Linked DNA regions of Callithrix jacchus. The protein of the gene in region 1 purifies or fractionates together with the protein of each later gene. This does not show direct contact. Links are inferred from orthologs where the notes say so. Each region holds a gene or a part of one and is shown in the gene's direction. Other genes may lie near its edges.

Region 1 (12,119 bases):
ATAAGTAGGGAATCAGATCCTCCAGAGCATGGAAAAGATGTAATTAAAAGCACAGCTTTGAAAAGTTTTAGAAAGCAAGAGGTACAGCTCTTTCTGGGAGTCTTGAAGGCAGCATGGGAGGGTAGGTGTACAAGATAAAGTAGCTTAGCTCAGATGGCCCTTTGCTAAATAAGTCATGAGATTAATGCCTTTGCTGAGAATGAGGTGGGAAAAGTGAGATCTGGAGCCTGAAGAAAAAAAACTGGAAAAGTGTCGGTGAGAGTGTATCGGTGAATCAATAGAAGATGACTAGATCTCACGCTATAATCGGCAGGCATTAAGGCTTGTTATCACAATCTGATTCCTTTCTGTAGGCCTTGAAATAACAGGCTGCATCTAACAGTCATGCTAATTGGAACTGGCTACCAGACTAAGGGCCTGGAAGTAACTAGAGTCACTGATATATCCCTCTCCTGAACTCTCTCTGCACTTCCTTTCCATGTTTTAAGGCACTCACTGTAGTGTATCTCCTATTGTAACCAACTTTTTCTTGCTAGATTGTAAACAATTGAAGGCAAGGGCTGTGTCTTAGTTACTGTTGTGTTGTACCTCAGCATAGCGCTTTGTACATAATAGGCAGATGTCTGTGCCTGCCACACATTTCTAATACAGCATTGATCACATACTGTATATGTTTGTTTGTTGTCGCCTCTTTTTGACCATGAGCTCAGAGGCAGGGATTGAGTTGTATTGATCTTGGTCTCCATCGTGTTTGGAACTTAGTAGTTTTGCAAGTGTTTATTGAATCAAAGTTTGTTGAAATGAATGCATAGATGAAATAATGAATAAAAGATAGCAACATGTAGGGATTTGGGGGGAAACTTAAAAGGATGGCATACCGCACAGGCACCGCATTTTGTCACACAATCATCTGTCTCACCCTGGCATCAGTAAGTGTGTAAAGTTGGTAGAAAATGATGCTGGGGAACCTGTTTCCTATACAGCATAAATGTTTGGAATACACATTCTGGATCTTCTTATGCAAATCTTTAGCCACTCCCTTTCACAGCATAGGGTCTCAGGTTAAAGGGCTAAGGGTTCCTTGCAGCTAAATGGCTAAGTCGTCCACCTTTATTAGGTACCTATTTGAAAAGTTACAACGTCGCATCACCACGGTCACTGTTTGCTTGGGAAATCAAAGTTGACGTTGCAGACAAAAGTAAAAAGATTGACAAACAGTAAAGAAATAACATTGGATCATGACAGTGGAAATCCACTCCCACTACAGGAAAAATGGCTCTTGAAGAGCATCTTTAAGTTTTCACTGGTTACGTTTTTTTTTAAAAAATTTAAGTCTGTGAAGCCAGTAGAAAATAACAAAAGCTAACCTTTATATAGGGCATATTATGTGTCTAGGCGTTATTGTGTGGTTTACGTATATTATCTCATTTCTCATAACTACCTTTTGAGACAAATACCATTATGATCTCCATTTTGGACAGGATGAAACCGAGGGACTGAGAGGTAGTACAAAGCGATCAAGGTCATAGAGCTATTAGAAGTGGTGGAGCTGGAGTTCAAACCTAAGGGATCTGGCTCCAATACACCAAAGAGGAAAGCACTCGTTTAGGTGTCTGGTTTACAAGTATAAAGAAAATCACCTTCTCTTTTCTGATATGATAATCCCAGCATTTATGGAGAGTCTGTTATATGCCAGGGATGCTAGTAACACGCTTAAGTTACATTCTTTCATTTCTTCCTTACCACAAACCCATGAGGCACTATTTTTATCCCCATTTTAAAGACAAAAAAAAATTAAGATATAGTGGTTAAAACAATTCGCCCAAGGATTGAAATTCAGGCAGAATGACTCCACTACGAGCCTCTCAGTCTTTCCTGGTAATATAATGAACGGAGGACCTCAAAGAGATGCCACGAGAGTACAATGAAATAATGGACGTGAAAAGGCCTCAGCGAACAAGTGCAAGGGATAAGGCCTGTCTACGTGAATCAACGTTCTGAACTGGTTACCCAGGGCCCCTGTCCAACGGTTTCCAGTCCCAACCCTGCCCCTTCTCCGCCCAGCCCACAGCTATATCTTTGAATCTCTTTCTCTATCTTCGCGGATCCGGCCCGCAAACACTTGGCTGAGTGGCGAAGCGGAGAATAGAAGGTACGCGCGCGAGCAGGAGGCGGGGCCTGCCGCCTCGAGTCGTACAGGAGGTGGTTTCTGCACTTGCGCCGTGGTTCTGCGGCTTCAGCTACCCCCTCTCTGCGGCCAATCAGGGCCCGCGGCGCGCTCGGAACGTATCAACGCTCTGTGGGTCGTGTGCGTGCGAGGGGGGCGACGTAAGGGCGCTCCGCGAGCCCGTCTCTCCTCGAATGAAAGGAAACAACCTCCGGCGACAGAGCCCCGCTCTCAGGCACTGTCGGAGAACCGAGATCGACTTCTTTCTCTTTACCCTCATTGGCGCTTCTCTCCTGCCTTACGTCTCTGGGCCCTGCGGGTGAGTCCCCACGGAACCCTGGGGCCCCCCATTCTCTGCCCGGCGGGAGAAGACAAGGAGGATGGCGGTAGCCAGGCCGCCGCCCCTGCCCGTTGTTAAAAGGGACTCTTGGTGGTCTCGCTTTATTGTCAGGGACCCCAGAAGCGTCGCTCATTGTAGGCGCTTGGCGGAGAGGCTGCTGAGAAAGTGATTTGGAGGTGCAGAAGGAGAGGTTAGGCTTACGTCTAGACTTCGGGGGAGGGGGTGCAACATTTGAGGAGGGGAAAAACTGGGAATTTTTAGTTTTTGCCATTGCTTAGAACATATTTGGGAAGGAGAGAGACTCCCAGTTTGGGAAGAGTAAGAGGAAGAATTGTTAGGATGGCAAGAGAGATAGCCATACGGAATGAGAAAAAACTCCGGGGTCGAGGGAATAAGGGGTGAAACTGAGGTATAAAGGAAAGCTTACAACGGTGACTGAGAGAGGGCTAACTCTTGGGGGAGGGGGCATAAAGAAAGTGGTAGGATGATATTTTCCTGGATTCGGGAGGATTGGAAAAGGACGATTAGGGGATCCTGACTTTACGACGGAAAGGAACCTGCTGAAGTATTTTAGAGGAAGATAGTTTTGTGACTTTAGCGCTTGGTTAGAAGGAGATCTTGTAATCTAGTGTGTATTGGGGGAATAAATAACGGAGAGGATCCGGTACTTTATGTGTACCGTCCTTCATTAGATGGATGAACAGCGAGGTATTCTTTTCCAATTTCCATTCGTTTCGATATTCCGCGTGGAAGTTGAAAAATCTTTTGTTTTTAGAAAATCTTTTATTTTCATCGCCTTACTACGTAATGTCAGGTCTTATTTATATTGTTCAAATTCTTTCTCTCCCCTTGGGTTTGAAACAACTGGAAAATTCCTTTAGTTTCCTTTTGAATAACCGCAAAAAGCAGTGCGAAGCATGTAATATCGTGCAACCAAATTCAGGTGCCCTTCCGGTACATCTTACTCGTTTATTTCTGTCCACTGTAACTTTCCTGTTACAAATACTGCTTCTATGGGGGATCGAGTTTGTTATCTATTTTGATTTGTATATTTCAGTTTGTGTTCACATGGAATATCTCAATCTTCCGGAACTGCAGTTTTTGTTGTTTTGTTTGTTTTTCTGTGAAAATGCTTTTTCAGATTCCAGGCATTGAATGAGCTCTCGAGTTGGTTCTTGAATGCTCTCTCTGATGTTTCAAGTTCTTCCTACCTTGGTGCTTCGCAGCATCGCTTCAGTTTAGCTAATCTTCCTTTTATTTTTTTTCCAGGCATTTTAATTATGTATTTCACGCTGTTATGGTTGCCTCTTCATTTCTGCCTTGTAGTATTTTCCATATTGCGATGTTTCTTTTAAGGAAAAGCCTTCATTGTTGCGTGAAAGCATCAAACTTTGATCTCCGCATGGCCTGAAAGACCTTTTAGACTAAAATTAAAATGCCATATAACTGTGAATCATTATGAACCCCTTAGTATTGGTCCTTGGAATGCCCTTATTCTACTTAACTAGAGACCACAAATGTGACAACATTAGATAAAAATCTGTACTTTTATGATAAGGATATTTTTGCTAGAAGTCATTGTTTCCATGATGTTCTCCACTTCATGTTTTACAAGGAGACTGTAAAAAAATTACCAACATATGCACAGATGTATTATTTGAATTTCAGTGGAAAAATCCATTTAGTCATTGCACGTTGGGGAAAGTTTTTAATTGGTTTGGTGCACTTTTTTTGTGGCTCTTCTCACTTTGCAAATTAAATTTAAACTGTTTACAGAAAAAAATACACTAGAATATTTTTGAATGCAAAATAAAGTATACGTTTTTTTCTCTTTTAGATTTTGGGGTCTTCGATATCTAGAAAAGCAGGTTCTCAAAATTAGGGTGAGAAATGTGCTTGTATATACATTGGAAGAGGCAGAATTCAATATAGATAGAAATTTGGGGATGCCATTTCGGAATTAAAGAATACGAAGTGATTTTTTTCCACGCTAGAAATTTTCTTTATCTTAAGCCAGTTGTATAGCCAGTGCTAAGATTGTATGGAAATTACACATTTAAGATGTCTGTACGGATTTGATTTATACTGTGCCATCCTTTCAACTGGCCAGGATGACCGGGAGTAATGCTGAATACATTATTATGGTGATTTCAGAGTGCCTACTATTCATTGCGTAGTAGTAAAGAACGAATTTAGAACTCAAATATAATAGCAAATTCTGATGCTATTTACAGATTTCAGTATTTTGCATAGTTAATTCTAAATTTTGGGCAGCTATGTTTTTGATAAAGCAACCGAACATACATTTCCCTGAGCAAATGCAAACACACTTTCCTTTTGTTTCTTTTGTTTCTCTGTTATGTCCTTTTTTTTTTCCTTTAATCCTGAAAGTATTTGCTGCCTGTTTCCAATCAGTTTCACAGTTTATGGCCAGTGCTATGAATACAGTACCATGGTAAAGTATCTGTTGCCATTTGGAAGACTGAGATATTTAAAATTATAGATAGCATTAAGAGTTTGTGAAACCTATCAAAGCAGAGACTGTCAGGGCCTTTGAAGTTGGGTTAAAAAGAAAATTCTAGACATAAATGGATGAGAAGACATGTTTTCTTTGTGGCTTCAGGTTAAATTTTGATTAAGTGTCTGAATTTTTATATTGAAAAGCACTGAATAGTTTGTAGATAATACCTTCCTAGCATACAGCTGCTACTGTTCTTGCTGGTGAACAAATGCTTCTAAGAAAGCTGCAATATAGTGTTAGACAATTTTTTTCAGTGTAATATTATAAAACTTCACATATGTAGACAAATGGAAAGATTTTAGCAAATTAATTTTAAGACAAAAGTTTGAGATTTTTCTTGATTGTGATGTGTGTTGTGGCAACCTGGGTCTTCAACTGCTTAGTCCTGTTGATTTGGGAAAGCTATGCAAATCAAGTAACTAATTTTAAATTTCTTCTGAAGAATCCATATTAAGATTGATGATATAAATCTGAAATCTTTCATGTTAGAGCTTTCCTTCCCTTTTTTTGTTTGACTACACTGTATTACCTATAATTATAATATGACCAAATTTAAGGCTCATTCAAAAAACATTTCTTCCTTCACACAGTATTACTAATTTAAGTATGGAAGTTACTACATTTAGAAGACCACTATCAGTTTGTGACTTTAATTGACAAGCCAACTTGAGGTAAATCTTAGAGTCATTTAATACGATTGTTTAAAAAATAATTGGGTCTTAAAGTCTGCATTTTTGAATAGACAGTTTGAAGCTTAATTTTTTATTTATTTGAAAATGGAATAGACTAGCAAAAATTAATTTATTAAAGTTATATACCTGACTTTTTAAACCCATAAATAATTATAAAGTACACCAAAGTCATAGTTAGGTAGATTCATTTTACTTTTATTGTTTTATCTATATGTGAACATTAAGAAATTGTTCAAGTATTCTGAAGTTTCCTCAGTAGCTTTTGCTCTGTTCTCAAGAGGTATAATTCTTTATCTCCTTGAAGGGGCACCTAGCTACGCATGAAAAGTATTTTACATTAATTATGCCAGCAGGTGATAATTTAATATTATACATTGTATATTTTTATCCACACAGAAATAGTGTCAGTTATTTCACATATCCTCCAATTTGGGAACAGTTTGATTTTTCTCAATTACTCTAAACTTAATTTAGCTATCTGTCTATCTATCTGTATTTATTATGGAGGCATCAGGTTTTAATGTTAATTTATGTATACTAAATAACCATTTAAAACTGTATATATTAAAACCTAGGTCAAACATTAAGCAACTTACATGAATATTTATAAACTGATTTTAAAACAAAATGAACTTTGTTACCCTTCTTATTCTTTGTAGCATTTCTTGGGGCTTAGAGTGGCTTAATTTGTCTGTACTAAATAAACATTTAAAAATGTGTATATGAAAACCTAGGTCAAATTTTTAACAACTTACATGAATATGTATAAACTGATTTTAAAATAAAATTAACATTATCGCCCTTCTTATTCTCTGTAGCATTTCTTGAGGCTTAAAGTGGCATTCTAAAGGCAATTTAAAAATCATGTCAAGCTCAGTTGAACAGAAAAAAGGGCCTACAAGACAGCGCAAATGTGGCTTTTGTAAGTCAAATAGAGACAAGGAATGTGGACAGTTACTAATATCTGAAAACCAGAAGGTGGCAGCGCACCATAAGTGTATGGTAAGTATACTGGCAGCAACGGAGACCTTGAAACCATGCAAGAGAATCTTAATAACATGTGAATGTCTGAATACTAAAAAAAATGAAAAACAAAAAAAAGCTCAGTTAAATTTTAAGAAATGGTTTATCACTAATACTATGCCATTTTTACTAGAAAATTACCATTTAAATTTAACATATTTACTGTTTTACTGTAATTAATTTATATATGAACCTTAATTTTTTTTAAATGTAATTTATAGCTCTTTTCATCTGCTTTGGTATCATCACACTCTGATAATGAAAGTCTTGGTGGATTTTCTATTGAAGATGTCCAAAAGGAAATTAAAAGAGGCACGAAGCTGGTAAGTTGGTATTTCTGCCTCTTGAGAATAAAAATTATTTTAAACTCATTAAATCAGAAGTTGCTTCTTTTAGAGTGTATTGCATTATTAACTGAGTATAATTTTAAATTGCAGGCTTTTTTTTTTCCTGAGCCAGCAAAATCCAAGGCCGAGTTTATCTTATTTGCCATTCAACAAAAAGGAATGAGTCAATATTTATGCTATTCAATTTTTTTTGCTTTTCAAAGAGAATTAAAATCTTTTTGGAGGCTGTTTACTTAGAAAACAAGCAGTTTGGTTAATTTGAGTATATATTGTGTTAAAGTCTTCATTCAAGTTTATTTTTCATAATTCTGCTATGTTTTCGTCTCTGTGATAAAGTTATTATGGTCATTACAAACGAAGATGATAGTAGCCTCTCAATAGGAAAATGTTAGCACTTGCTGAAAAAAATATTTCACTGTGGTTCAGTTGTATAACACAGCATTTATGACTTTGGATAACTCAGTGAATTTCACAGGAGCTGTTGTTCTGAAGCTGCATTAGAGTAATGTTTCCGTAGTTATCTTCACTACCAGTAACCATATTAGTAAGATACTACATTGCTTTATTGGAATAGTAGTGTCATCTCAGTTGGTACTTATGACATATTATGGTTTGCTTTGGAACAGTTAATGGTAAGATTTATTTTTGTTTTTCTCATTTGAACTCTTTATTAAAATTGCATCAATAAATGTACCTTTAGTAGCTTCACTATCAAGTTTCATTTTTTAAAAGACGGGTTTTGCCGAACATATAACTGTGTTTGTAGTTACTAAATAACCTCTTATTTCACACAGACTCTGAGATGGTAGTTTTTGGATGAAATGGTAATGGGAAGAGGGGGGCTGTCATTTTGATGATCAGTAGTAATACATTTTAAAAAGTAGTCATCTGTTAATAGTTTTATATAAAAAGCAATATGAAGAAATATACATTTAAAGATGACATTTGAGATTTGCTTTAGGATGGTCTCAAATCCTAGCATCAGTGTTAGTACAAAGGAGAGTTCAGAAGTCCGACCATTTTTGTTGTAGCGGGACCTTAACTGTGAAAATGTTTATCTTCCCCATCCCAAAAACTGTAGATAGTAATAGAAAGCTCTGGTTCTTTTTCTTTTTCTTTCTTTCTTTTTTTTTGACACAGAGTTTCACTCTTGTTACCCAGGCTGGAGTGCAATGACACAGTCTTAGCTCACTCCCAACATCTGCCTCCCAGGTTCAAGTGATTCTCCTGCCTCAGCCTCTCAAGTAGCTGGGATTTACAGGCATGCACCACCATGCCTAGCTAATTTTGTATTTTTAATAGAGACAGGTTTCACCATGTTGGTCAGGCTGGTCTCAAACCCCAGACCTCAGGTGATCCACCCACTTTGGCTTCCCAAAGTGCTGGGATTACAGGCATGAGCCACTGCACCCAGCCTAGAAAGCTCTGTTTTTTTAATGTAAATTTTATTTGGTGGTTTCAAGTTTCTTCATGTTACTGTGCGGATATCTGAGAACCATAGCGCTATGTTTTTATTTCCTAGTCTTTAAAATAAGTGCAGATATAAAAAAGAATGATACTTACTTGAAAGTGATTGTGCTATAAACCTTATTACTCCTTTATTTATTGCTTGACATTATGAATCTCCCTGGAAAATATTTCTGTATCCTGACTTGTTAGCATTTTGTCACTTGATACAGCTTCTATCAGAACAAAAGCAGTTTTTGTCTCTAATGTTGAAATGTTATTAACAAATGCAATGCCTAGTGTTAATGTTACATGAAGCAACAGCATACATATGTCAATATTGCTAAATTCAATGGAGATTTAATTTATTTGGATCTATTTGTTAAAGCATAAGAACTTTTGTACAAGTTTCATTATTATAAATTGTTTTGATTAATTTTTAATGTTATAGTGTAGGGAGATAATTTTTTTCCCCAAGTGTAGCATGTTATAAATAACTAAACTTGCTCCTTGATTTAGGGAATGGAACAATATTGGGAATTGAGAGCACAAGATTTAGTAACAGACTTGAGTTTGAATCCCTGCTCTGTCATTTACTAGCTAGGTGATCCCGAGTCAGTTATTTATTTCTCTAGGCCATGTTTTCCTCACCTGCCTAAGGGGGTAGATAATGACAGTACTTGTCTCCCAGAATTATTGCCAGGATTAAAAGAGAAAGTATATAGGATTTAAGATGGTGCTGAGCACATGGTTAGGACTTGATAAATAGTAGCCACCACTTAGAGTTATTGTTTTTTGTTGTGTTTTGTTTTTTTTGAGACAGAGTCTTGCTCTGTTGCCCAGGCTGGAGTGCAGTGACACAATCTCAGCTCACTGCAGCCTCCACCTCCCAGGTTCAAGGAATTCTCCTGCTTCAGCCTCCTGAGTAACTGGGACTACAGGTGCCCGCCACCATGCCTGGCTAATTTTTTAAAGTTTTTTATTTTTAATAGAGAGAGGGTTTTGCCACATTGGCCAGGCTGGTCTTGAACTCTTGACCTCAGACAGTCTGCCCGCCTCACCTCCCAAAGTGCTGGGATTACAGGCGTGAGCACTGAGGAATAGTGGCAGAAGAGAAGAACTTTTGTTCGTTTCCCTCCTCTAGAATGTCACAGTTTAAACAACTTATATAGGGGATAGGAATGTGACATTTATAGGTTTAGGTTCGAAATAATTTTTGAAACTCCTTTTAGCCTTCAATTTTGCTTCTTTCTTTATATCATTTTTATATGACAGGCTATCAGGTAACCTAAATTCCAGATTTTAGTTTTATTCTCTATTATTCCTTATTTCAATTTGACTAAGCAATAAAAGGGCTATAAATCAAATAGGAGGGCAAAAAAAAAAAAGAGTGAAGAGCTTTATGTAACTAGATAAATTACATATAAACTAGGTAATCAACTTCCCTAATTGACTTTTTTTTTTGCGTGATGGAGTTTCACTCTTGTTGCCCAGGCTGGAGTGCAATGGTGTGATCCTGGCTCACTGCAACCTTCACTTCCCAAGTACAAGTGATTCTCCTGTCTCAGCCTCCCAAGTTGCTTGGATTACAGGCATGCACCACAATGCCTGGCTAATTTTTTTGTATTTAGTAGGGAGGAGGTTTTACCATGTTAGTTAGGCTGGTCGCGAACTCCTGACCTCAGGTGACCCACCTGCTTCAGCCTCCCAGAGTGCTGGGATTACAGGTGTGCACCACTGCACCTGGCCACTAATTGACTTTTTAAGGCATTTTATCCTATGAGCCTGTTTGCTCTGGCTCCTGTTCATCTGGATTTCTAGATGAAAAGTAGGTCATGAACACTCATTGAAAATCATCGATCCGGGCATGGTGGCTCATGCCCGTAATTCTAGCACTCTGGGAGGCTGAGGCAGGTGGATCACCTGAGGTCAGGAGTTCAAGACCAGCCTGGCCAACCTGGCAAAACCCCATCTCTACCAAAAATACAAAAATGAGCCAGATGTGGTGGTAGATGCCTATAATCCCAGCTACTTGGGAGGCTGAGGCTTGAGAATCACTTGAAACCAAGAGGCGGAGGTTGTAGTGAGCCGAGATTGCGCCACTGCACTCCAGCCTCGGGGGTAGAACAAGAGTCTGTCTCAAAAATAAAAGCGGGGGAAAAACAAATCATCAAAAACTGGAGTATGGACCCCTGAGTGCTTTCAAGACAGATTCCAATCTGTACCTGGTGTTGACTCCAAAGTTGCTCACTTGCCCCAAAGAAAAGGACAGAGATAAGGAGGCTGGGGTTTGAGGTTAAAATGTATGTATCAACAGCCAGGTGGGTCAGAGTTGTGGATGAGAGGGCCCAGTAGAGCAGGAGGTACGAGTGTATGGTTTTTATGTGTTGCTGCCACAGGAAATTTTCCAAGGTTTTCACGTCAGCCACAAGGATCAGAGGAGGAAAGCCATTCTGTATGAGCTTTTTCACCTCCTTTACACTATCTTTAATTATATAGCACCAGGATGGACCAGGGAAAATTTGCTAGAGTACTAAGGCTTTTATGATTTGAGGCCCTGTTTTTGCAGTTTAGACAGATATATTTTTCCAGGATATATCTGTCTGTAGGATTTCCAATTCCTACTGAAGCCATATGGAGATACCACATCTGTACCATCTATTCTTACTCTCCAGTCACCTAGCCAAGAAATGCAAATTTCCAAGTAAAATTATGAGTTATCATTGCTTTTTTGAATTTGTTTAAGGAGATACTTGAGAGAAGGATATTTGAAGAATTTACTGTTTCTGGATGAAGCTAGCTGGTGAGATCACTAGGTGTATCTACATTGGATAGCTATTACTCTTTTTTTTTTTTTGAGATGAAGTTTCGCTCTTGTTGCCCAGGCTGGAGTGCAGTGTTCCAATCCCGTCACTGCAACCTCTGCCTCCCAGGTTCAAGTGATTCTCCTGCCTCAGCCTCCCAAGTAGCTGGGATTACAGGTGCCTGCCAACACGCCCAGCTAATTTTTTGTATTTTTAATAGAGACAGAGTTTTGCTATGTTGGCCGGGCTGTACTTGACCTCCTGACCTCAAGTGATCCACCTGCCTCCTCAAATAGCTATTATTCTAATTGGTACCTGTGTCAGATTATATCACAGATTACAAGAAGAGAGTGTTCAGAAGGCCATTTAGTTCACCTTTCTTACCCCTCTGCAAGATTACCTGCAAGCCCTTCAAGATAAGATTTTTTGGCCTGAGAGTTGGCTCACACCTGTAATCCCAGTACTTTGGGAGGCCAACTGGGAGGATTGCTTGAGGCCAGGAGTTGAAGACCAGCCTGGACAACAAAGCGAGATCCCTATCTCTACAAAAAAATTTAAAAATTTTGAAATGTGTTGTGTTTCTGTAGGCCTAGTTACTCAAGAGGCTGAGATGGGAGGATTGCTTAAGCTCAGGAGTTTGAGGCTGTCGGGAACTACGATTGTGCCACTGCATCCATCTAGCCTGTGTGATAGAGTGAGGTCCTGTCAAAAAAAAAGTTGTTTACCCTGTTCTTAATTATATCAAGAAATTGTGATTGTACCCAAGTAACCTGAAGCAA
Region 2 (12,557 bases), on another chromosome or scaffold:
AGAACAGCTCAGGAAAGGCCCACCCCCACCAGGTTAACTACCACCAGGTTCCTCCCACGACACGTGGTGATTGTGGGAGTTATAATTCAAGATGAGTTTTGGGTGGGGACACAGCCAAACCATATCATTTTGCAACCTTGCTTCCACTCTCTCTGCTGAAACAGACTTTCCCCACAACGACCTTTCCTCAGACCCCAACCATCCTCTCCATCTTTCCTGCCACACATGGCAGTGTTGTCTGCCAACTCCCATCCTGAAATCTCTCTTTTCCCAGAAATCTTCTGGTTCTTTTCCTATGTCCCTGATCTGTCCCATCCCCATGCTGTGCCTGTCTCCCTTGAGCCTTGCAAACATTGATGTTCCTTAAGGTGCAGCATGGTAGCCCTCTCCTCTTTCCCTTGGCAATCACCTTCATTCTTAGCTTTCACATGTTCTAACACAGCTCCTAAATGTGAAACTTTCGCTTCAGCTACCAGTTCCAATCTCCCACTACCTGCTAAATTTCTTCAATGGCATGCCCCTTCAACTTAGAATCTCTAAACTTCATCCCCCCATCACCTCACCTATCAACTCTAGACCTTGATTCCCCTCATCTCTTCATGGAAAGCTTTGTTTGGGGTATTGGCATGATCTCCTGGTTTGAGATCACCGTGAGATTCAGAGAAAACTGGGACAAAGAGCAACACTGAGGTACTGGGATGGCTAATGCCGCCCCAAACAAGAGTATAGAAAGAAAGGCAATGATGGTAGGTGGTAGACACTGTTCCCAGTGCTGAATCCTCAAGGATAGTGAACAGCCACATGAGTAATCAGTTACTCTTCACACCGTGCTGCTTGCTTGAAAAGGCTTCCAAGTTTATCATTCCTTTTAGCTATCACTTACTGACTACTTACCGCAGATCTGTGCTAAGCATGTCATATCTGATATGGTTTGGCTTTGTGTTCTCACCCAAACCGTAATCCCCATATGTCCAGGGAGGGACCTGGTGGGAGGCAACTGGATCATGGGAGCAGTTTCCTCCATGCTGTTCTTGTGACAGTGAATGAGTTGTCACCAGATCTGATGGTTTAAAAATGTCTGGCAGTCCCCACTCCCCTCCACCCAGTTCTCTCTCCCCTGCTGCAATGTAAGATATGCCTGGTTTCCCCTTCGCCTTCTGCCATGATTGTAAGTTTCCTGAGGCCTCTTCAGTGATGTGGAACTGTGAGTCAATTAAATCTCCTTCCTTCGTAAATTACCCACTCTCAGGTAGTATCCTTATATCAGTGTGAAAATGGATTAATACAATATCCATTAACTGAAACAATTCTACAAGAACCGAATTACCATCATTTACAAGAGAAACAATTGAGATATGGAGAGTTTAAGTCATTTATCCAAAATCATACAACTATTATGTGCCAAAGTCAAGATTTGAATCCTGGTCCCTAAACACTGGAGTGTATGCTTTATCTCCCACGGGAATAAAGACATTTTACACACACACACGAAACCCTCCTCCATGGACCTAACTGTTAAAATTAGGTAAAACTGTCTAATTATATAAATGTAAATGTCTAGGTAATTTAGGTAGAGGTCTAATTAGAAAATTAGACATTTTCTAGCTCTATAGAAGTGATAAAGAAAAGTTCTTTGGAATGACCCCCAGAGATATGATGCTATGCAGTGGTGAACTGTTACACATTGACTTTTACTATAAGAATTATAGGCTGGGTGCAGAGGTTCACACTTGTAATCCCACCACTTTGGGAGGCCAAGGCAGGAGGATCACTTAAGGCATGGAGTTCAAGACCAGTCTGGCCATCATAATGAAACCCTGTCTCCACTAAAAATACAAAAATCAGCCAGGCATGATGGCTCACGCCTGTAATCTGAACTACTCAGAAGACAGAGGCACAAGAATTGCTTGAACCTGGGAGGAGGTTGAGGTGAGCTGAGATCAAGCCACTGCACTCCAGCCTGGGCAACACAGCAAGACTCTGTCTCAAAAAAAAATTATAACTATTTCATATCATTTTGTATAGTTCTCTAAATAACTTCATGATGTCAATCCTGTACCTCCCCAATACAGTTATAAAAAGGTCTGGGGGAAAAAAACCCTGTATCTTATATTTCTCATGTGTTCTGTAAATTATAACTATAAACAAAAATGTATCTTATACCTAATAATAACGATTATGACAAATACCTACATTTTCTAGATGCCAGGCACTATATTCTAAGCCCTCTACACTTAGGAATTCATTTATTGTAAGACAGGTACTACTATTATCCACATTTTACAGGTGAGAACAACGAGGAAGTTGGTAGATTTCAGACAGACACAAATTCTCTCATGCTTCTCCCATGGGGTGGTGGAGTCTAGGTCTCCTTCCCTTGAATCTGTGCAGGCTCTGCCTTAATCAGATTCTGTGCTTATAAAGCTGTGCTCATTTCCCAGGCCCAGGCCTGAAGAACTAACAGCTTCCACTTCCCATCTTTTGGAACACCAGCTATGGAAGGCCTGAGCCACCTGTAAGATGCCCAACTAGACAAAATGCATGGAGGCAGAGAAGGGTTCAGGGGCTCCCAGAGAAGCCATCCTGACCTCACCAGGCTAGGCCCTCCTCCAGCGGAATGCCACTGAGTGATCCCAGTTGCCACCACATAGAATTGAAGAATTTCCCAGGTGACACCTGCCTGAATGCCTAACCCACAGAATTATGAGATAAAATAGTTTTTAAGTCACCAAATTTGGGGATAGTGTGTTACATAGCAATAGAAAACCTGACCATGTATAGAGAAGATGGTCACACAGCTAAAAAGTAATAGGTAAGCAATAAGGGACAGAGGTGGGATTCAAAGCCAGGGAATCTGACACCAAAGCCACACTCATCCACTGCTTCCTTTGATCGGAATCAGCTGCCTCTTCAGTCTACTGCCTAAGCCTGATTGTCCAGGTAATCCCACAGACAAGCGCCGTATTAAGGGACTGTACAATTCATGACTAACGTGTGCTACACAAGGTGTTGTAGTGTGACAGGAGGAGCACAGGGTTCTCTTCCATCGTTGCAGCTAACTCACCTGGTGACAAGCAGCAAAGATTTTCTGTGGTGAAGACATGGACTCCACCTGTCTTACTGAACAATGTATCTCTGGTACCTACCAGAGGTGTCTTTGACATAGTAGGCACTCAATACATATTTCTGAATGGATCAGACTCTCGGCCTCAGTTTTTCATCCATAACAATGGAGGAGTCCCCCACTGGACTAGATGAGCTCTAAGGTTTCTTCTTGTTCTAAAAGCTACAAATCTCAAGGAATGTGATGGTGGAAAGATGGTATGAATGGCAACAAATGAAAATATGGGGGGAAAAGAAACAAGAAAAGGCTTCCATCAATGTGAATGAAGAAATGCTTCTAAAGGAAACAAGAGCCAGAATGGAGTTTCAACCTGCAGAGAAGACTCCTAGAGCAGAGGCACCTCAATTCTATCAACAGGTCAAATACTACTGGATAGAATTTGTGGATGTTTTCTCAGCTGAGCCATTAATAGATGACTTCTTCAGGGGCCCACAGCTCACACACCTTATTACCAAGCTTACCTTAGAGGGCTCCTAAGGAGTCTGCCCATCAACATACTTTCCAAATGGCTTACTCATAGCCCCTCACCTCCACCCCACTCAGAAAAGCACTGGCTTGAAGCAAACAAACATGGAGTCTTGTCTTAGCTTTATACTGAATCTTATCATACCGGGAAGGCCAATTCAGTTAAACAGATATTCTGTGCCTAATAAGTACAACAAATTGTCGAGAGGACTGAATGCTGACAAATGGAACAAGATGATTCCCTGCCTGTGCCTCAGTTTTCGATCATTCACCTAATTTTACAGAGTGCCCATTATACTCTAGGCACTGAAGGTACAATGGCAAACACATCAGACATGGTCATCCGTGTCTTCACGAAGCATCAGTCTAGTGGGAAAAACAATCGTCACACTGTACCAGGGTTATTAAATGGAGGAAGCAGAAATTAATTTGGGAGGAAGGGTCACGGAAAACTTCCTGGAAGACACATCTAGGCTGAAACATGAGTTAACTTTGCCAGACAAAAAATGAGAAGGCTCACCCACTTTTGAGTTTTCAGGGGGACAAAATGGAAAAAAAAAAAAAAAAAAAAAGCAGGAGAGCGCAAACAAGACTGAACTACACATATGTGCCCTGAACACAAAAAGACACCGTGAGTACCCTGCTTTTAAGCCTCTTGTGCATTCCGTCACTTCTGTTGGAAAATATATCCCCCCTTGTCCATTCTTGTCAATTCCTTTCGTTATGGGTAAACTGTTCCCCCAGAATCACAGAATGTGACTGTATTTGGAGATCAGCCTTGTAAAGGGGTAATTAAGTTACAATGAGGCCATTAAGGTCGGCCCTAATACAATCTGACTGATGTTCTTACGAAGAGAGGAAATTGGGATACAAAGAGAGACACCACAGATGGAAAACACAGAGGAAGCACCATGTGATGACACAGCAAGAAGTAAGTGCCTACCCGCAATCCGAGGAGAAATGTCTCAGAAGAAAGCAAACCTGATGACACCTTGATCTTGGACTTCTAACCTCCAGAACTGTGAGAAAATACATTTCTGGTGTTTAAGCCACCCGGCATTTTGTTTGCAGCCCTAGGAAACGAATACACCTTCTATTCCAGGCCCAACACTGCTCATTTCCAGAGTGAAACCTTCCTTATCGCCCACATTACACACACCTTGGGGTTAAGGTTTCTCACAATACTCTGTACATCCTCCATTCAACTTTCATTCATTCCTTTAAGCAACAAACGCCTAGTGACCACCACTGTATGCCAGACCCTATCTTAAGGGCTGAGAACAGCTAACGTTTATTGAGCACTTACTAAGTGGCAGCCAGTACTCTAAGCGATTTACATGCACAACTCATGAAATCAGACAAGGTTCCAGAGACGCAGGTGCCGCTATGATACCCGCTTTACGGATGCCGTGCTGAGGCACAGAGAGGCCACACCGTAATGAGACTGAGCTAGGCTGTGGGTTCTGTCGTCTTAAGCACTACTGTCAACTACAGGGTGGAAGAAAACAGGAACCGAGAGATGGGCAGCGCGGGGCGGAGGCGGGCGGGACTGGCTTCCTGCGGGCAAAGCCTGGAGATGAGAGCACGCGGGTGGGGTGTCCAGGCCGAGGGAGCTACACGGGAGAAGGCCCGGCTCCCAGGCCCGGAACCTGGCCTTCTGGGTCTCGGTCCGCGTCCCCTGCGATGCCCGGCACAGAGCAGATGCTCGCTGACTCTCGCAGGGGCCGCCAGTATCCTCGAGCACCCTGGGATGCGGAGGGAGCTGCGGGTCCATGCCCTACTGGGCCACCTTCGGACGCTCGGCCTCCCTTCCCTTCCGGGCCATTTCCACCCTCGCCAGCCCCGCCTGCCTTCGCGAGGCCGGCCACCTTACCCTCGGAGACCGCTCTCTGCCCCGCCGCCTTGATCTACACCTGCCGCCGCGGTCCTGCCTCAGGCCAGCTCGCCTGGCCCAGCCGGCCGCGGAACCATCCCGACCACGCCCCCTTGGCTTGCAGGAACCGCCCTCCCGCTTCCGTTGGCGTCACTTCCGCTGGGTGGGGTGTTGTGTGGCCCCGGTGCGCAGACGCGCCGGGTGGCTCGGGAGTGAATTCCGCGCTGCGAAGCCTGAGAGGCCGGTAGTTGTGGCGCTGGGCGGGCGGCGGCAATTCCACGTGCTCCCTGCGGCCGGTTGAAACCGTTGGCGGGCGCTGGCTGAGAGGTGAGGGGCGGTGGCCCAGAGGTCCGACCTAGATGGCTGGGGCTCAGAGAGTGAGTAGGGGAAGGACTGGGTGGCCGATCCACTGTCAGCTCCTCTAGCATACGCATGGAGGAAGGAGTTCCATTCAGATCTTATTCGGGCTCTGGGGAAGTGGCAGGAGTTCTGGACTTAGGGTGACCAACTTGTTTTAGTTTTAAAACTGAAAGTCCCGCGTCCTGGGAACCCCCTCGGGCCTGGCCAAACCAGGACGGTTGGTCACCACCCGACTGGGCTTCAGGTTTGCTGCATGTTGGGGACAGGGCTCTTCTCTTGAGCCTTGGGACCTCAGTCCCTAAGGAGGAAGCCTTAGGATGTTGAGGACCAGAGAACGGACTTCGGGCCGGAATAACTGCCTGTGAATCTGGGTCGCCACCACCTGGATGTGTGATGACCTGGTGTAAGTTTTTTAAACTTCTTTGCGCCTCAGTTTCCTCATCTGTCATAACATATAGAACCTAACTCGGAGGACTGTGATGAGGATTAAATGAGTAGAAATGTGTTAACCTCCTATGAGAGGGCTTGGGTGCTCCATAAATGTTAGGATTCTCTGCAGCACCTCCCTCTGAGGAGAGGGGGAGAGCAATGAGGTGGGTGTGTATTTGCAACCGGACCTTCCTGCAGACAAGTCCAACTTGGGACTTACTCACACTGTGCCCCAGGCTCCCAGGGTCTAGCATAGTGCCTGACACTTGATAGTTACTCGACTGAAGGGATAGTGTTTAAAACAGTGCTGGTGATGTTGTGGGTGGGGTGGGAGGCATAGAAACATGGCTTCTGTAAGCCTCAGTTGATCTGTTTAGTGGAGATGGCTGCACTTACTTCCTAGGGCTTTTGCAAGGAACAAGGGAGAGGTCCTCGCCTTGTGAATGTCCCCCGTTGTAACCCTGGTCAGCCCCACATGTAAAGGTTTAGGCAGGATGGTGGACAGAGTATGTTTGTGCTTCTCCTGCACCATACCCGTGGTTTCTCACAATGCTGCCCATGGAAGGGGCTTGAGTGTTGTCTGGTTGGCCTGACTTCTTGTTTCACAGATGAGAGAACTTCAAGTTTAAAGGGGCAGTGGCATGCTCAGGGTCACAGTGCTCAGTGGGGGAATGTCCTGGGGTTGCCAGCCAGACCCCTCAGGTGGGCTGTTTCAGTGGTAGTGGTGGTAATGGTGTGCAGGTCAGTGTTTGTCTGCGCATGAAAGGATATTTTAAGAATAGTCGGCCAGCCGCTGTGGTTCACTCCTGTAATCCCAGCACTTTGGGAGGCCGAGGCAGGTGGATCATCTGAGGTCAGGAGTTCACCACCAGCCTGGCCAGTGTGGTGAAACCCCGTCTCTAAACTAAAATACAAAAATTAGCCGGACGTAGGTTGACGTGCACCTGTAGTCCCAGCTACTCCGGAGGCTGACGCAGGAGAATCGCTTGAACCCGGGAGGTGGAGTTTGCAGTGAGCTGAGATTGCACCACTTCACTCCAACCTTGGCGAAAGAGCAAGACTCTGTCTCAGGAAAAAAATAAATAAATAAAAGATAGTCAATATTGTTTTTGTGAAAAAATTTAATAAATAATACAAAAATGGGAGGAAGGTTAAAAAAAAAATTCATTCCACTCCCAGAACCAAACCTAAGGGCATGTTATCAGGGCACGTAATGGTCGAGTAGGCACCCATGGGGTGAGGAGCCAGAGAAGGTTGGAGTGAATTTATAAAGATAAATTGGTGGGTTGATGGTCATATTTAATGGAGCTGGGGCTTGGGAGAGGGCTGGGTGTAATGGCATTGATGTGCAAATTAGTAGGCCACAGAGAAACCTTTCTACATTGGACGAGGATGAAGCTCTCGTATCTGGTGTCTTAAAACTTTCCACCCAATGCTTTGAGTTAAGTATTAGATCTATTTTATAGATAAGCAGATTCTTGGAGGTTAAGATGCTTTGAGGTCATTTAGTTTTTAATGATTTTTTTTGGCATTAGCAGATCCTCAACCCAAGTCAGGTCCCAGTCCAACAAAACCTGGCAACCATCTTGTTAAGAGAAACCTATCAAGTTCCCTGCCCCTTACGGACCACTGGCTGCTGTCACTCAACTAGCTTTGCTGCCCAGCTGACAGCCTCTCCTGTGACATGGGTGGTCTCCTTGCCCACTGCGCACAGACTTTATAATTAAGGCTTAGGGTTCTAATGTTTATACTGGAAAGTCATCTTGTGGAGGCTTTAATTTTTTTTCTCTTTGGATGAGGACCTCAAGGTCTCAGGTGCTGAGTTAAAGCCAAGCAAACAGCCAGGACACGGCAGGTCAAGATGGAGGCAGGATGGGAACCTGGGCTTGTTGCCTGGTCTTTCAGGCTACCTATCCCACTTACTGTGACTTCGGGCAGTTCACTTACCCTCCTGAGCCTTGGGTTTTCCCTCCAGATGGTGGTGTTTGATCATAGAAGTCCTGGTGGACATAAATGGGACATGGCTTTGTAGAGCGCTTGTGATCGTGTGTTCTATTGTGCAGACTCCGTCATCTCTTTTGTGGGTGTGGCATGTGATGAGAGCTCAGTAAACTGACCGAACAGACAGTCGAGGAGGCAGCCAGAAGCGCAGGCAGAGTAACTGAGTGAGGACCCCCGGCGGATGCTGTGGTGGATAGCATAGCCCCAGCATTTAGGAAATGTCTGCTGAACTGAGTTAAAGTGACTTACCTGGGGCAAGAATGGAAGTATGCTCTCAGCCAGTCCAAGAACGCCGCCTTCTGCTTGCTTTTCTCTTTTAACGTGCCCACGTGGCTAGAAGGAAAGCGTACAGAATCTCTGTGGCTGCACTGGAACTGAACATCGTGCATAGGAAGTTGAGGAGCCAGGGAAGGAAAAGAGGACTCTGTTTCGATCCAGCCCCATAAGAAACTGCCATCTTTTTACACTTAGGGCTAAACGTTGAAATCTGTCACATCTGAGCCTGGCAGACAGGGTGTCTTCAAAGTCTCAATGCAGTTTTAAGGTTTCATAATTTCAGAAGCATAAATGCTGCATACTTGCCAAAAATTAAAGAAAGTTTAATTAAATTTTCTTTATGCTTATCTAGTCTTGTGGAATTTGAATAATACCATTTTACTTTATTGTTTTAGGCAATGTTTGCTGTCTTCCATTAGAGGGACTGAATTTCCACGTGATGGCTTTTTGTAAGTTTGTAGCATTTATACTTATGAATATTAAGCCTACTGTGCAGTTATGCTGACTTTGAAGGTTATGATGGTTTTGAGCTTTTCTTTGAAGCTCTAGCAAGTGTTTATGGCGTAAATTACAGATATTTTCCCCTGGGGCTAGGTCGGGTTTGAGGTGTAATCAAGGTGTCTCTTGACCAGCTGCTGGGCTGTCCTCCAGGCCCTGAATAAGGGGGAGGTAAGCTCCTTACAGACCTTAGCTCATTAGCCAAGCAAGTGGACACTGCTGTTCCCGTTTCATGGCACGTGTAAAATCAAAAGGAAGGCAGGAAGAGACAGAGTTCTGACTTCCTGTGCAATCCATCCATTCTGCCTTAAACAAAGACCAAATGAAAATGATGGGAGAGTTATTTTTCAGCTGGCACATAATCAGATTCTAATCATCTTCCGAATTGCTATTAACTACACTGTAGGGTGTGGCTAATCTCCAGAGAGCTCGAATGTTTCGCACAGATACTCTTGAGTATCTTTTTGTCAACATCACTGCTTCTTTCAGTCACTATATTTTGTTTCCAGCTTCCTTCCTAGGCCTTTAATTCCTGACCTGCCAGGACAGGAATCTCCCAATTGAATCTTAAGGCTTGTTGAAAGCTTGCTTTCTCCCATCTCCCTCTCCATCAAGAGATAGAATTGTCCTTAGCAACAGAGGTTGGCAAGCTCTAAGCCATATCTAAGTTCAGGGACTGTTTTTTGTTGTTGTATCTTCTTAGGAAAGTACTTGAAAGCTTTTCAGCAGATAATTTGGCATATCACAGCTGCTTTCACCTTGTGCCTGTGATGAGAATCTGTTTCTTGGTGACATTAATAAGTTATTCCTGCTCTTACACCAAAGTACACCTCCAGGCTCTTTGAGAATTCGGTGTTGGCTCTTGTTCAGCCTTTGTTCTCCCTTGTCAGGCAGGATAGCGGCTCTTGTTGCCTGGCATGTGGGACATCCTTGGCCTTTTTTAGATGGTAGGCTTTGAGGGAGCTGGCTCATGGGAAATGTGGTTCCAGCTCCCAGGAGCCTGGTAGTATCACACATCTTAACAGTAACCAGATGTGAAGATGACAGTTGCTGCAGCACATCCAGGGTTTTCTTTCCTGAGAATTTGGTACTAGGTTGTAGCTGACCGCATGCCCCGTGCTTACTAGAGTACACTGATAGTGAGCAGAGGAGTGGGGCCTGGGACCCAGGGTCAGGGTTCTGTGGTTTGTGTGTAGCATAGAAGCTGAACTGATGTCTGATAGTGTCCCACAGGACAGCTCCACAAGAGACCAGCTGGGCCTCCGTAAACCCTGGAGATGCAGCCAGGTTGTACATTTCCATTCAAGGCTGAATGGACATGAATAACCCTGGGTATTGCTTGGGTGTGACCTTACCAGCAGTGATCCAGAACATGTTGGTGGAGGAGCGACGGTGTTTTCATGCATGAGAATGGTCTGCAAAACAAGGGTAGATCTGAAAGATTGTTGGATGAAGCCCTACCGTGAAGTAAATTACATCTGTTTACCTGACACTCACCTTTATTTTCATAATGAGAAAGAAAGCACTGGGTTAAACAGTTCTCAGTATGTTTGCTGTGAAACTTACAATGTAAAACAATACTGTTTTAAAATGTAGTGATTAACACATTATGTAAGTGTGGAAAATTACTGTGACTTCTCTAACGCTTTTAGATGAATGTATTTTTCCTTGAGCACAGTAGCATTTCTGTGAAATTTTAAAATGATGTTTATGTACGTGTACAGGCATACTTCATGCTGGAGCAGTGCTCGGCACCCCTGGGTTCGTGAACTCCGGTAATTCAGCACCCAGCAGTTGGGACACCTGGACATGGTTCCATTTCTTTCTGACTTGTCTGACAAGCTGCCACATGAAGGAGGCCCCTGTCCATTACAGCTGAGGCACATGTCCTCATTTTAACATCTGTAGACATACAGTAATATTGATATGAATGCTGTTAGTGCCATAGCAATTATGTCCATAGAATTGCCTCTTCTCCACTTTCTAAACTTCGCTCAGTTTTCCTCTTGCTGTGCTCTTAGTGTATTTGAGGACCTGAAATAGTTAGTAGTGAACACCTAAATTGCAGTGCGTTCTCTAAGTTTATGTAATTGAGAGAGCTTAAGATATTAGGGAAAGGAAGATTTAACACCCTCAAAGCTCATTATCTTGAGAGTCAATCTGCCAGGTTTAAATCCTGGTCCTGTTAACCGTGCATCCTTGGGCAAGTTATGTAATCTCTGCATCTCAGTGAACAATGATAGTCCTTTCCTCATAGGGTTGCTATGGGGATTTAATAAGTGAATACATGTAAAGCCCCTGGAATAATGCCTGGCACATGATAAGGACACAATAAATGTTAGCCATTGTCACCGTTAATGTTAGTTTTACTTATATGAATGGAGGAGTTTTATGTAGATTGCTAATCAGCTTTGACTGTTATTTTCATGTGAAATTATGGTTGAAAAGTTAGCTGCATGAGCCATTTATTGAAATGAGAAGCTTCAGTTTATAATGATAATTATCTTTTTTTTTTAGGACCAGACCTAAAACCTGTCTTGGATAGCGAATATTTAGCCATTTACCTAAAATGGTATTTTTTACATGCAATGCATGTGGCGAATCAGTGAAGAAAATCCAAGTGGAAAAGCATGTGTCTGTTTGCAGAAACTGTGAATGCCTTTCTTGCATTGACTGTGGCAAAGATTTCTGGTAAGCTTCACAGAATTCATGTAGATCCATAGTAAATCAGACCAGTTTTGGAAGGCTTGGCACCACAAAGCTTGGAAAAATAGTGGCAAATTTGAGGAAATAAATTAAGAATAAAAACTGGTATGGTCCATTGATTAAAACTCATGTGATTCTTTACAATGTGCTTTACTAGGCTGGGCGCAGTGGCTCACGCCTGTAATCCCAACACTTTGGGAGGCCGAGGCAGGCAGATCACGAGGTCAGGAGTTCGAGACCAGCCTGGCCAACATGGTGAAATTCCATCTCTACTAAAAAATATAAAAATTAGCCTGGCATGGTGGTGTGCATCTGCAGTCCCAGCTACTCAGGAGGCTGAGGCAGGAGAATCGCTTGAACCTGGGAGGCTGAGGTTGCAGTGAGCTAAGATTGCACCATTGTACTCCAGCTCTGGGCGACAGAGCAAGACTCCTTTTCAGGAGGGAAATCAAATGTGCCTTACTAAACAATTTGTTTTTTGAGGATGTGTTAAAGAGAAGACTAGGGGAAGGGGAATTATGATTAGAGCATTCAGTTGGTGACACTGGTTGCTATTCCATTGCCACTGTTACCAGACCCAAGGAAGCAACACATGGAATATGGCTCTAGGGGGTTAGAGCTGGTTTTGTTAGACCATGGTATCATGTGCTTATCACAGTGAAGGGATGGACTTAGGAATCAGAAAGTGAATTTATGAGCTCACAGTGGGGGAGATGACTGATAGCAGAGAAAATTATGTCCTCCCTAGAAAATCAGAGCTGCTGGTGGAAGTGAGGCTCTTCCTGGCCCCCAGAGTGTGTCAAGAGATACTTCCACTGAGGAGGC

The links.
Region 2: the proteins of PHF6 (region 1) and LYAR purify together in Homo sapiens (affinity purification with mass spectrometry; 3 studies listed by BioGRID and IntAct, with this or other methods). This does not show direct contact. The link is inferred for Callithrix jacchus from reciprocal best matches to the Homo sapiens genes PHF6 and LYAR.

Annotation. Positions count from the first base shown.
Region 1 is NC_133524.1:129,925,212-129,937,330, forward strand, and holds the start of PHF6 (PHD finger protein 6), read left to right. Parts: upstream 1-2,359; 5' UTR 2,360-2,486; exon of another isoform or gene 2,487-2,697; intron 2,698-5,618; exon of another isoform or gene 5,619-5,699; intron 5,700-6,538; 5' UTR 6,539-6,584; coding exon 6,585-6,722; intron 6,723-6,964; coding exon 6,965-7,066; intron 7,067-12,119.
Region 2 is NC_133504.1:184,454,788-184,467,344, reverse strand, and holds the start of LYAR (cell growth-regulating nucleolar protein), read left to right. Parts: upstream 1-5,632; 5' UTR 5,633-5,839; intron 5,840-8,923; exon of another isoform or gene 8,924-8,977; intron 8,978-11,543; 5' UTR 11,544-11,595; coding exon 11,596-11,717; intron 11,718-12,557. Other genes in the region: ZBTB49 (zinc finger and BTB domain-containing protein 49), read right to left, coding at 4,533-4,624. UniProt on the Homo sapiens protein: Plays a role in the maintenance of the appropriate processing of 47S/45S pre-rRNA to 32S/30S pre-rRNAs and their subsequent processing to produce 18S and 28S rRNAs. Also acts at the level of transcription regulation.